2 linked regions of the Drosophila melanogaster genome follow. The protein of the gene in region 1 interacts with the protein of each later gene in a pairwise test. Each region holds a gene or a part of one and is shown on either strand. Other genes may lie near its edges.

Evidence for each region.
Region 2: the proteins of Slimp (region 1) and CG4313 interact in a two-hybrid assay, tested with the Drosophila melanogaster proteins (one large-scale study listed by BioGRID).

Annotation. Positions count from the first base shown.
Region 1 is NT_033777.3:24,146,738-24,150,995, reverse strand, and holds Slimp (Seryl-tRNA synthetase-like insect mitochondrial protein), read left to right. Parts: upstream 1-2,028; 5' UTR 2,029-2,094; coding exon 2,095-3,489; 3' UTR 3,490-3,560; downstream 3,561-4,258. Other genes in the region: p38a MAP kinase, read left to right, coding at 1-394; p38c MAP kinase, read left to right, coding at 814-1,884; Kal1 (kallmann syndrome 1), read right to left, coding at 3,624-3,800, 4,129-4,195, 4,257-4,258. UniProt on the Drosophila melanogaster protein: Essential protein which may play a role in mitochondrial morphogenesis and function. Has transfer RNA (tRNA)-binding activity and can bind tRNA(Ser) but does not have serine--tRNA ligase activity and does not bind ATP.
Region 2 is NC_004354.4:2,051,119-2,056,177, reverse strand, and holds CG4313 (uncharacterized protein), read right to left. Parts: upstream 3,495-5,059; 5' UTR 3,433-3,494; coding exon 2,873-3,432; intron 2,362-2,872; coding exon 1,738-2,361; intron 1,675-1,737; coding exon 1,233-1,674; 3' UTR 764-1,232; downstream 1-763. Other genes in the region: Sik2 (Salt-inducible kinase 2), read left to right, coding at 1-58, 153-260.

The sequences.
Region 1 (4,258 bases):
AAACCTGATTATGGAGATGTTGGGCACGCCACCCGCCGAATTTTTGAAGAAGATCTCATCGGAAAGTGCACGTTCCTACATCCAGTCACTTCCGCCTATGAAGGGACGAAGTTTTAAAAATGTTTTTAAGAACGCCAATCCGCTGGCCATTGATTTGCTGGAAAAGATGTTGGAGCTAGATGCCGAAAAGCGGATCACAGCCGAGGAGGCTCTTTCCCATCCATATCTGGAGAAGTATGCGGAGCCCAGCGTCGAGCAGACCTCACCACCATACGATCACAGCTTCGAGGATATGGATTTGCCCGTAGACAAATGGAAGGAATTGATCTACAAGGAGGTCACCAACTTTAAGCCCCCACCATCGTATGCTCAGGTTCTAAAGGATGTAAAGTGAACACAAACCATCAAGAATTTAAAGTATTACATAGGCCAATTTATTTGTTATAGCCTTTATGTTCCAACCATGTCTTTTGTACTCAAATTTATCAATTCTTAGTGTTAACTTTTTATTTTGTTTTTTTGCTGCTTACTGCTTATTTAACAAAAAATTTGTTTTATAAAAACATCAAGTTATTCAACTAAAAACCTTATTTTTGTCACCTCTTGGGCAGGATCTTTGGGTCTATAGCATATGTGTGTATCTCCGGTCATACAGATGACTGAATCGAACAAGTTTAGTGTTCTGTCAGTCGAATGTGCACTGATAGATAAGGTGTTGAGAAAAGATAAGAGTTTAGCGGGTGACTAAATGCAAGCTCAGTTTTCTTTCTGTTTCCTTTCGTAGAAGACATATTTTTGCACATTTAATCCAGAATGCCGGAGTTCGTGAGAGTGGCAATTAACGAAAGCCTTTGGGAGTTCCCGGATATATACGAGTTCGTTCGTTTTCTGGGTGGCGGTTCCTTTGGCCAGGTGGCTAAGGTGAGACTACGAGGCACTGAAAATTACTTCGCTATGAAAAGGCTTATGCGCCCATTCGAGAGGGAGGAGGATGCTAAGGGTACCTATCGCGAGATCCGTCTGCTGAAGCACATGAATCATCGAAATGTTATCAGCCTGCTGAACGTCTTCCATCCACCAGCGCACAACATGATGGAATTTCAGCAGGTTTATTTGGTGACTCACCTGATGGACGCGGATTTGCACAGGTACTCGCGTTCGAAAAGGATGAGCGATCAAGAGATTAGGATAATCCTTTACCAAATACTGCGGGGACTGAAGTACATACATAGTGCCGGGGTTGTTCATCGAGACTTAAAGCCCTGCAATATCGCAGTTAATGGAAATAGCGAGGTGCGCATACTTGACTTCGGTTTATCCCGTATGTGCGCAGACAAAATGACGGACCATGTTGGAACTATGTGGTATCTAGCTCCGGAAATTATCTTTTTAAGGGGTCAATACACAAAGGCAATTGACGTGTGGTCGGTTGGTTGCATTCTGGCGGAACTTATCACGGATCGTGTCCTGTTTCGCGGTGAAAACTATGTAAGCCAAATACGATGTCTGATTAACATAATGGGTACTCCGACGAGGGAGTTTATCACCGGGATAAGCATGGAACGTTCGCGTAATTACCTGGAGGGGTACCCGTTACGACAAAGGTGCGATTTTCATCACCTGTTTATGGGTTACGATGTCCAGGCCATCGATTTGATGGAAAAAATGCTCGAAATGGTACCCGAAAAACGTATCACAGCTGCGGAAGCAATGCTCCATCCATACCTTCGGGATCTTATTGAGCCACACCATCATGCCGAAGACACCGCACCAGTCTATGATCAGAACTTCGAAAACATGGTACTGCCTGTAAAATGCTGGAAAGAACTTGTTTCCCACGAGATTCGGAACTTCAGACCTGACCAACTTGATTTGCATTTTTAAAATGCCGTAGTTAATGTAGCAGAAGTAATAAATTTTAAATTAATTAAATGAACAAATTTTTCACAAAATTAAATTAAAAACTGGATATTCATAAATTTAAACATTGAAATCATTGAAATACCCCTATTAAATCTTCCGGATCTGGCAGCGCTGGCGACAGCTGATTTTGCCTTACCGGCTTATTTTATTTTGCATTCGATAATAAAAATAATGTTGAGCCTGCGAAGTGTATTAAAACACTGCCTTTCGGCAAAGAAAACGTGTAGCAGAAACATCTCCGCGCTGTACATAACCGGCGATAAAGCGAACGAAAACTATGTGACTCTGCAGCCGTACATGGACTTCAATAAAACCTTTGGAGAGCGGCAATTTTTGGAGCAGAGCATCTCCAGCCGGGGATTGGACATTCGTTTGGAAACTGTGCTCAGCAAGTACGAGAAGTATAAAACACATCACGCTCAGCTGTCCAAGGTGGCGGAGGAACGCGAAAGGGTGACCAAGCGCCTAAAGGAGCTAACGAAATCTGGTAGTAGTGCGGTTCAGCTGGAGGAGTTGAAAGAGCATGGGAAATCGTTGCGCAATGAGCTAAAGGCTCTGAAGCAGACTCTCTATCCCATAGAGGATGACTTTATTCATGACTATCTGCACTTGCCCAACCTTCTGCATGTCCAGTGCCCTGTTGGAGGGGAGGAAAAGCTTCTCTATCGTCATGGGATACCCAAATCAGAAAATAAGACTACATCCCACTTGGCACGCCAGGAACTTGTACATTTTGTAGACAACAATCGTTACTACTTGATGGAGCAGGCTGCTCTTTTTGACGTAAATGCCATGCAATCCCTGGCCCGCTATTTCGTCAACCACGGGCACTTCATTCAAACCGCCAATCCGGACTTTGTGCGTTGCGTTCTCCTGGAAGCAAATGCGACACCCTTATCCGACTATCATCTGGTTCAGGAAGAGCACCTGCAAAACAAGATCAATACCGCCTATTTGACTGGAGGTGCGTCCTTCGAGAGCTACCTTGGTGCCATGACCAAGCTGTGCGTGTATCCCTCGGTGCTGCCCCTTCGGTATGTCTGCTGTGGTCGGAGCTACAACAGAGCGGAAGCGGATTTGTATGGGCCCATTCCTAGTCTTTATACGGCGACACAAACGAATGCGGTACAAATCTTTGTGGCAACGCAAACGGACAACGAAGCGGACTCCCAACTAGAGCATATTCTCAATCTGGCAACTGATTTCTACAAAGCACTGGACATACCATTCAGGATTTCTTATGCAACAGCAGCAGATCTAACTCCGGCGGAGAGTATCCGGGCAGTCATCGAAGTTTATGCCCCCTCACTGCAGCGCTATGTGTGTGTGGGACGTATCAGCAACTACGGAGACTTTGTCTCTAAGCGAATCCTTTTTAGCACGCGGCGGGAGAAGCACTATGATTTCTTGCACATGGTGGGCGGACCAGTGCTCTACACCTCGCGACTGATAGCAGCTCTTGTTGAGCATGGCGTGCGCTTGGAAGACTGCAAACTTTTGGGCTCTATTAGTCAGAAACCCGTTCATCAGCAGGATCTACAGCAGTTTAAGGACCTTTTCACGTAAAAAACGATCGGTGTTTAGTTTCTTGTTGTTTGTTCTTAGGCCTAACGATAAGTAAAAGTTAAGTTTTACATACAATTATTTACAATCTAATGTAATCTCATGGTCAGCAGTGCGTTGAGCCCATACAGAGAAGGCTAGTCGCTGCACTTGATCTGCAGCTTGGGAAATCTCTTGCGGAAATTTTCACATTTAGGCGTGGTGAAGGTAAAGACATTTCTGGAGTCGTCCAACACGGAATTGGGACTGGAACGGGGAATCCTCAGCACATACGTGGTGTTGTACTTCAGTTTGCTGAACTCCAGCGGGTCTTTCTGCAATCAAAATGAATTTAATGTATCTAACATACGGCAGCATTCGCTTGTTTGATCTTTGTATTTTGGCAAACACCTATGGCATGACCCGATTCTATTCATCAATATTGGGAAAATTTTGATTGGCATTTGACCACGTACTGCCAATTGGAAAGACGTGTTTTCCGTGTCAAATAGAGGAAACACGATTGCGCCTTGTTAAACAATACCCCATGGTCAACGATGTTCCACTAATTTGCCCTTGCCCGGTGGTCCGGCCAATCGGCACGAAGTATTCCGACATGTGGCTCGTGGCTCCCATCAGAGCATCATCAAGGGTATTACTTACTTTGGCGCGAATCGCGCGGAACTCTCGCTGCTCGCAGTTCGTCTCCTGGGGACACAGTTCATAGACCCTGCAATCGGGGTGATGGCATGAAATTTATGCATTTGGGCATTTTGTTTACAAATAATTACTT
Region 2 (5,059 bases), on another chromosome or scaffold:
CACGGTCAAGTGCAAGCCTACCACGCCCCACGGTCACAGCCTGGACTCCGACTATCATGTAAGTAAGCTAGATAACGCATATTAAGATGATTTCTCAGGCATCCCAAGTTCGTATATAAACCTTATCCGTTTTCTCCTTGTGTCCTCCGCAGACATCGACGCCGGTGCTCAGCCTTTTCACGCCCAATTGGCAGTCGCTGGTAAAGCCGCTCAGCGAGAGCCCCATCCTGGAGATATCGGAGCACCTTGAGTCAGTCTGAGGCCGTGTGTGATGTTATTCGGTGGAGGGGTTGGGGCAATTCGAATGGGAGTAGATTTGTAAGTGGAAGTCGGTGGGAAAGGAAAAGGGGTAGGACTGGACATCGAACTATAATGGGGGCTGGACCGGGACCGGGGCCACCTTTTTATTAAGCTCGCAATCGCAATTATGAATTATTTGATCCATATACGATATACACCCATACATACATATAAATAGCCTATATAGATATGAATGCGGGTCGGAATCGGAATCGGAGTTACATCGATTCACGTTTATTGGAACCGATAGAATCATTACCGAACCGGGCGAAGCAGTAATATTGAATGATTTAGTTGTGTTACTAGTCTTAAGTAGTCCAAGTTTCGTACGCATATACGCAGACATATACAATATGTATATTGATAATAATAGCGTTAAGCTATAGCTCTACTTATGATTACACTATACACTATTGTATTGCCCCCACGACAGTGGACGAGAACAACGTAACTACATATATCAATTATTCGAAGCATTTATTGGGGGCATAGAAAGGGCGTATCCATATAAGGATATATCTATTATGTATTGGTACAATAATTAGCGACAAGCAAAGAAAAAAAAAACAAAATTTAAACAAACATCGATTGTTCTTAAACATGGAATTCAAATGTAAACCAGATATTAAAGTCATTTGGTATAAAATGCAATATACTTCTGGAGTTCCTACATTATATAGATATAGATATAGATATATATGGGTGATCTGTGTTTTCGTGTGTGCGTGGAAGGGACGACCGGCCGGATCATGTGACTAGAAATCTTTTTTGGAGGCACTATAATCACCAGGGGATCAAGGAATTTTTTCTTACCGCAGATCATTCAACATGACATTTGGGTACTTCTCCCATCGTATTACTACCATATGGCACACATATATCATATCCCGCTAGGACGGAGGACGATGAAGGTGTTAAGGCATCTGTCGGAGTCACGTCGTGGCCTTCACCTGCCGATTGGACTCCAGGTGCTTTCGCTTTGCATTGGCCTGATTCCGCTGCTTCTGGGTATCTGGAGAGCCATGGCAGCGCAGCAAGTTCCAGTAAGCTCTTCGGTATTCGGAGCTCATCAACACGTAGATCAGCGGGTTGATGCAGGTGGTCAAGTAGATAAGTAGATAGCCAGCAATGTTGAACCAGTGCACCTCGGTGGCGCTTTTCCATATTTTGGCCACCGTGATGGGCAAATAACAAATTACAAACCACACGAAGATTACCAGTATCATCTTAAGCAATCTCCGGTCCTTGGCACTCATCCTTCCCGGGTAAATAGAGGATGCATTTGAGGTATTGCCCATGGAGGCGTAGTGGGATTTCCGCGGGCTAAACCGTGTGAAGGAGGTGGTGCGCAGGGATGTAGTGATAGGGTTCTTTCTGGAATGGATTTACGCATTAAGGTTGAGTGAAATGGCAAAGAAGCCTTCAACAGCTACTCACCCATGGGTTTTGCCCATCTCTAGTTGCGTTTGACTGCGTCCCAGGCTGACCTTTTCCTGATCCCGATCCCTTTCCTTCTCCCGCTCCTTGAGCACCACATTGGCATCAACAGGCGGTGGCTGCTGGTCCTGATCCCTCCTCCGTATGCTGTACGAGATCGGCAGACTGTCCGTCGAAGCATTGTCATCGATATACGCTAAGTTTTCCTCCACCACAAAGGGTCGTCCTGCGATCGGTTCGTTCGCCTCGCCGCTGGACGTGGTCACCTTCTCCGGCTTCTTTGGTGTGGCCATGGCTTGAATCTGATGCTGCGGCGCGGAGCTGGGAGTCACATCGCTGACATTGGTCTTGCCAGCGGTTCCCGCGCGAATGGCCGCCTTTCGCACCAGCAGGAAGATTCGGGCATAACAGATCACGATGCAGATGCACGGCACCATGAAGGCGGCGATGAAGAGGAACTCCTTGGGGGATCTACCATACCGATCATGCATGATGGAACACGAGCCGATGCTGACGTCCAAGCCAAAGATACCCCATACGCCCCGCCAGGTGGGTATCATTATGGAAAACGTGGTGATCCATGTGCCGGCTACCATCAAAGCCAAATATCGTCGCTGGTAAATTCTGGAAGAACGGATTTGAACCAGTGGGAATTGTATTTTGTACCATGTCTAATTTGATAATAATATATGCTCATTGTATTCAAATATATTATTTTAAGATATCCGTAGCTCACGAAAATAAAAACTAGCTAGTTATTTATTTCTCCAGAAATATTGTAGTTCATATTTTATAAGATATTAATTTCCGTTCAGTTTAATTGTTTATTACGAAAATATTGAGATCGCTGAACCGACCTTTTCTATAGCATTTGCCTCTAGCAAGTAATGTTCTCTTTTTTAGTTAATTAAAAAACATCTACGAGAAGCCATACATTTTCCTTTTTATAAACAAGTTCAAAAGTTTATAAGTTCAGAAACACAATAACATATGTGTGGGTTTTTTTCTCAGATTAAGTGGTAGGTTACCATGCGTATCATAATAAACAGATAAGCACCAAGAGGAAGAGTTGGGCACTCTGAATACCCTTCAAGATTTAGGCAGGACATGCCGATATGGGCAGGCCCATTCTCACCTTGGATACTGCCTGGGATGGGCGATAATGATGTACCGGTTGATGGTGATCAGCGACACGGAGAGCAGGGACACCGCCAGCAAGCCGTAGCGCAGCATCGGAAACAACCTGCACAGCAGATCACTATGGGTCCACGCCCGCTCCTTGAAAGTGGACGCGGCCAATGGCAGATTAAAGCAGCCAAAGAGTAGATCCGAGCAGGACAAATTGATTATGAATATGGCCGTGGAGTTGCGGGTTTGACGACCTCGCGACAGGGCCACTATGGTCAGTAAATTTCCGGGAACGCCCACAATGATGAACACTATGCAGGCCACCCAGGCGATGGTCAGCAGCTCGTCCGAATAGCCCTCGAAGAGCACCTGGCGCCTGTCGTCTACATTGAGATTAAGATTCATATTCAGATTGAGGTCCACGTCCACGTCCAGGTCCAGGCTGTCGGAAAGGGGTACCGGCAACACCGCGTCCTGATCCGCCATGTGATCAGTAGCATAGGGATCCGAAAGAGGCAGCGCTATCGAGATCGGATGCGGAGTTGGTCCGGATTTTGGTGGGAACATCGCGCGGCACTTTGTGTTCGGCAAAAGACGCGTTGCTCGTTCCTGCGCCGAATTTGTACTAAAACTGAATTCTCCGCATCCATACACCGACATGGTTCCCACCCAAAAAGTGGGCCCGAAGGCAGTCGCCGCCAGCCAAGCGTACAAAATATTGAGAAAAAAAAAAAAAACAGCAGGCGAACTAGAAAAACTTTCAAAAAGGAAAACAAAAGAATCTCAGAGCAGCAACAGCAGCAACAACACACATTTTTATTGTATACAACAATTGACTTCATCATCGGGTAATTTGGTAATTTGCGTGTGGAATGGGCGCTTTGTTTACATTGTTCCTATTCGGTGTTGTTTCTTAACCGCCCTTCCCGCCCCATTCCGCCCCAATCCACTCGACTCTTTCGCTCTTTCGTCGATATTCTGACGGGGTCATGTTGCTGTTGTTGCCGTTTTTCAAAGTTTCAGATACTAGACCAGGGATACCATTGCCCAAAATGGTTCGACGTTTTAGCTACATACTTGAGCATTCCGACAGCCAGAACATACATACTTGCATTAGACTAGTCTTTGCATCAGTCTGGTGGAATATAAGTCATGAGCAGCATGGGGAAAGTTATCTGCATTGCTAACACAATTCAAGACTTATCACTTGCAATGAAGTAAGAAGTTCCCCTCCTTAATTGATACCTTGACCGATACGTCTTGGATGCTTAAAAAATTCGGTGTGCCAGAGGTTACATGAATATATTGGGAATACAATGAATAAGCTCCTACAGATGAATCGAGTCTATTCGTAGCCCTGATTTCGGGCCATACGCACCTCTCCGGCATTTTTGAAATGAAAAACTTTTCGGTTCCTGGGTCGTGTGCATGTGTGTGTGTGTTTGTGTGTGTGGTTGCATAGTTTCCTCTGGCAATTTTCTGGATAATAAATGGGCGGCATCCATTCGAAGCGAGGAACTGAAAAAAAAAGCAAAACTTTTGCGAGAGGGACTCATTCGAATAAATATGCCTATAGATCGAATTTGTGCGTAGAATGAATACTCCAGTCATGGGCGATTAATCCTGAATCATAACTCGAGACTATGCGTTTTTCACGCTCTCATAACCCGTTTCGAATAATGAGTCAAACCCCGGAAGCCTGGTGTCACACGACGTCAGCGTACATATGTAGTCTTAATTAATCAAGCCAATATGCCGGGGGAAACCTCTCTACTTTTCCGAGGGTCAGAGTGCGGGTCGTCTGTTGGGTCGAATTGAGTATTGTTTGCCTTTTGAAAAGAAAAACAGGCGGTTCTAGGGAAAACTCTTTGGCAACGGCACGAATACGAATACGTTGTTTGTTTTCATGCAGGCCAATAGTCCGGGAATTGCAGCCGACTACCCAAGAAAATAACATTCAGTTCTTGAGGAAATTAATATAATTATAGCGCCATATCGCATTCACTTAAATGACGAGAAATTTTTAAGTTTAAGATCCTAGGAACTGGATGGAATACAATACGTGATAACGAAACATATGGCTCATCCTCGTACTTGCGAAAACATGCGTTTTCATAAAACAATACAAGGCTTTATCGAGCTTAATCTAAACGTATAATCCCATCATTTTTTAAGAAATTAAAAGTGCACTATC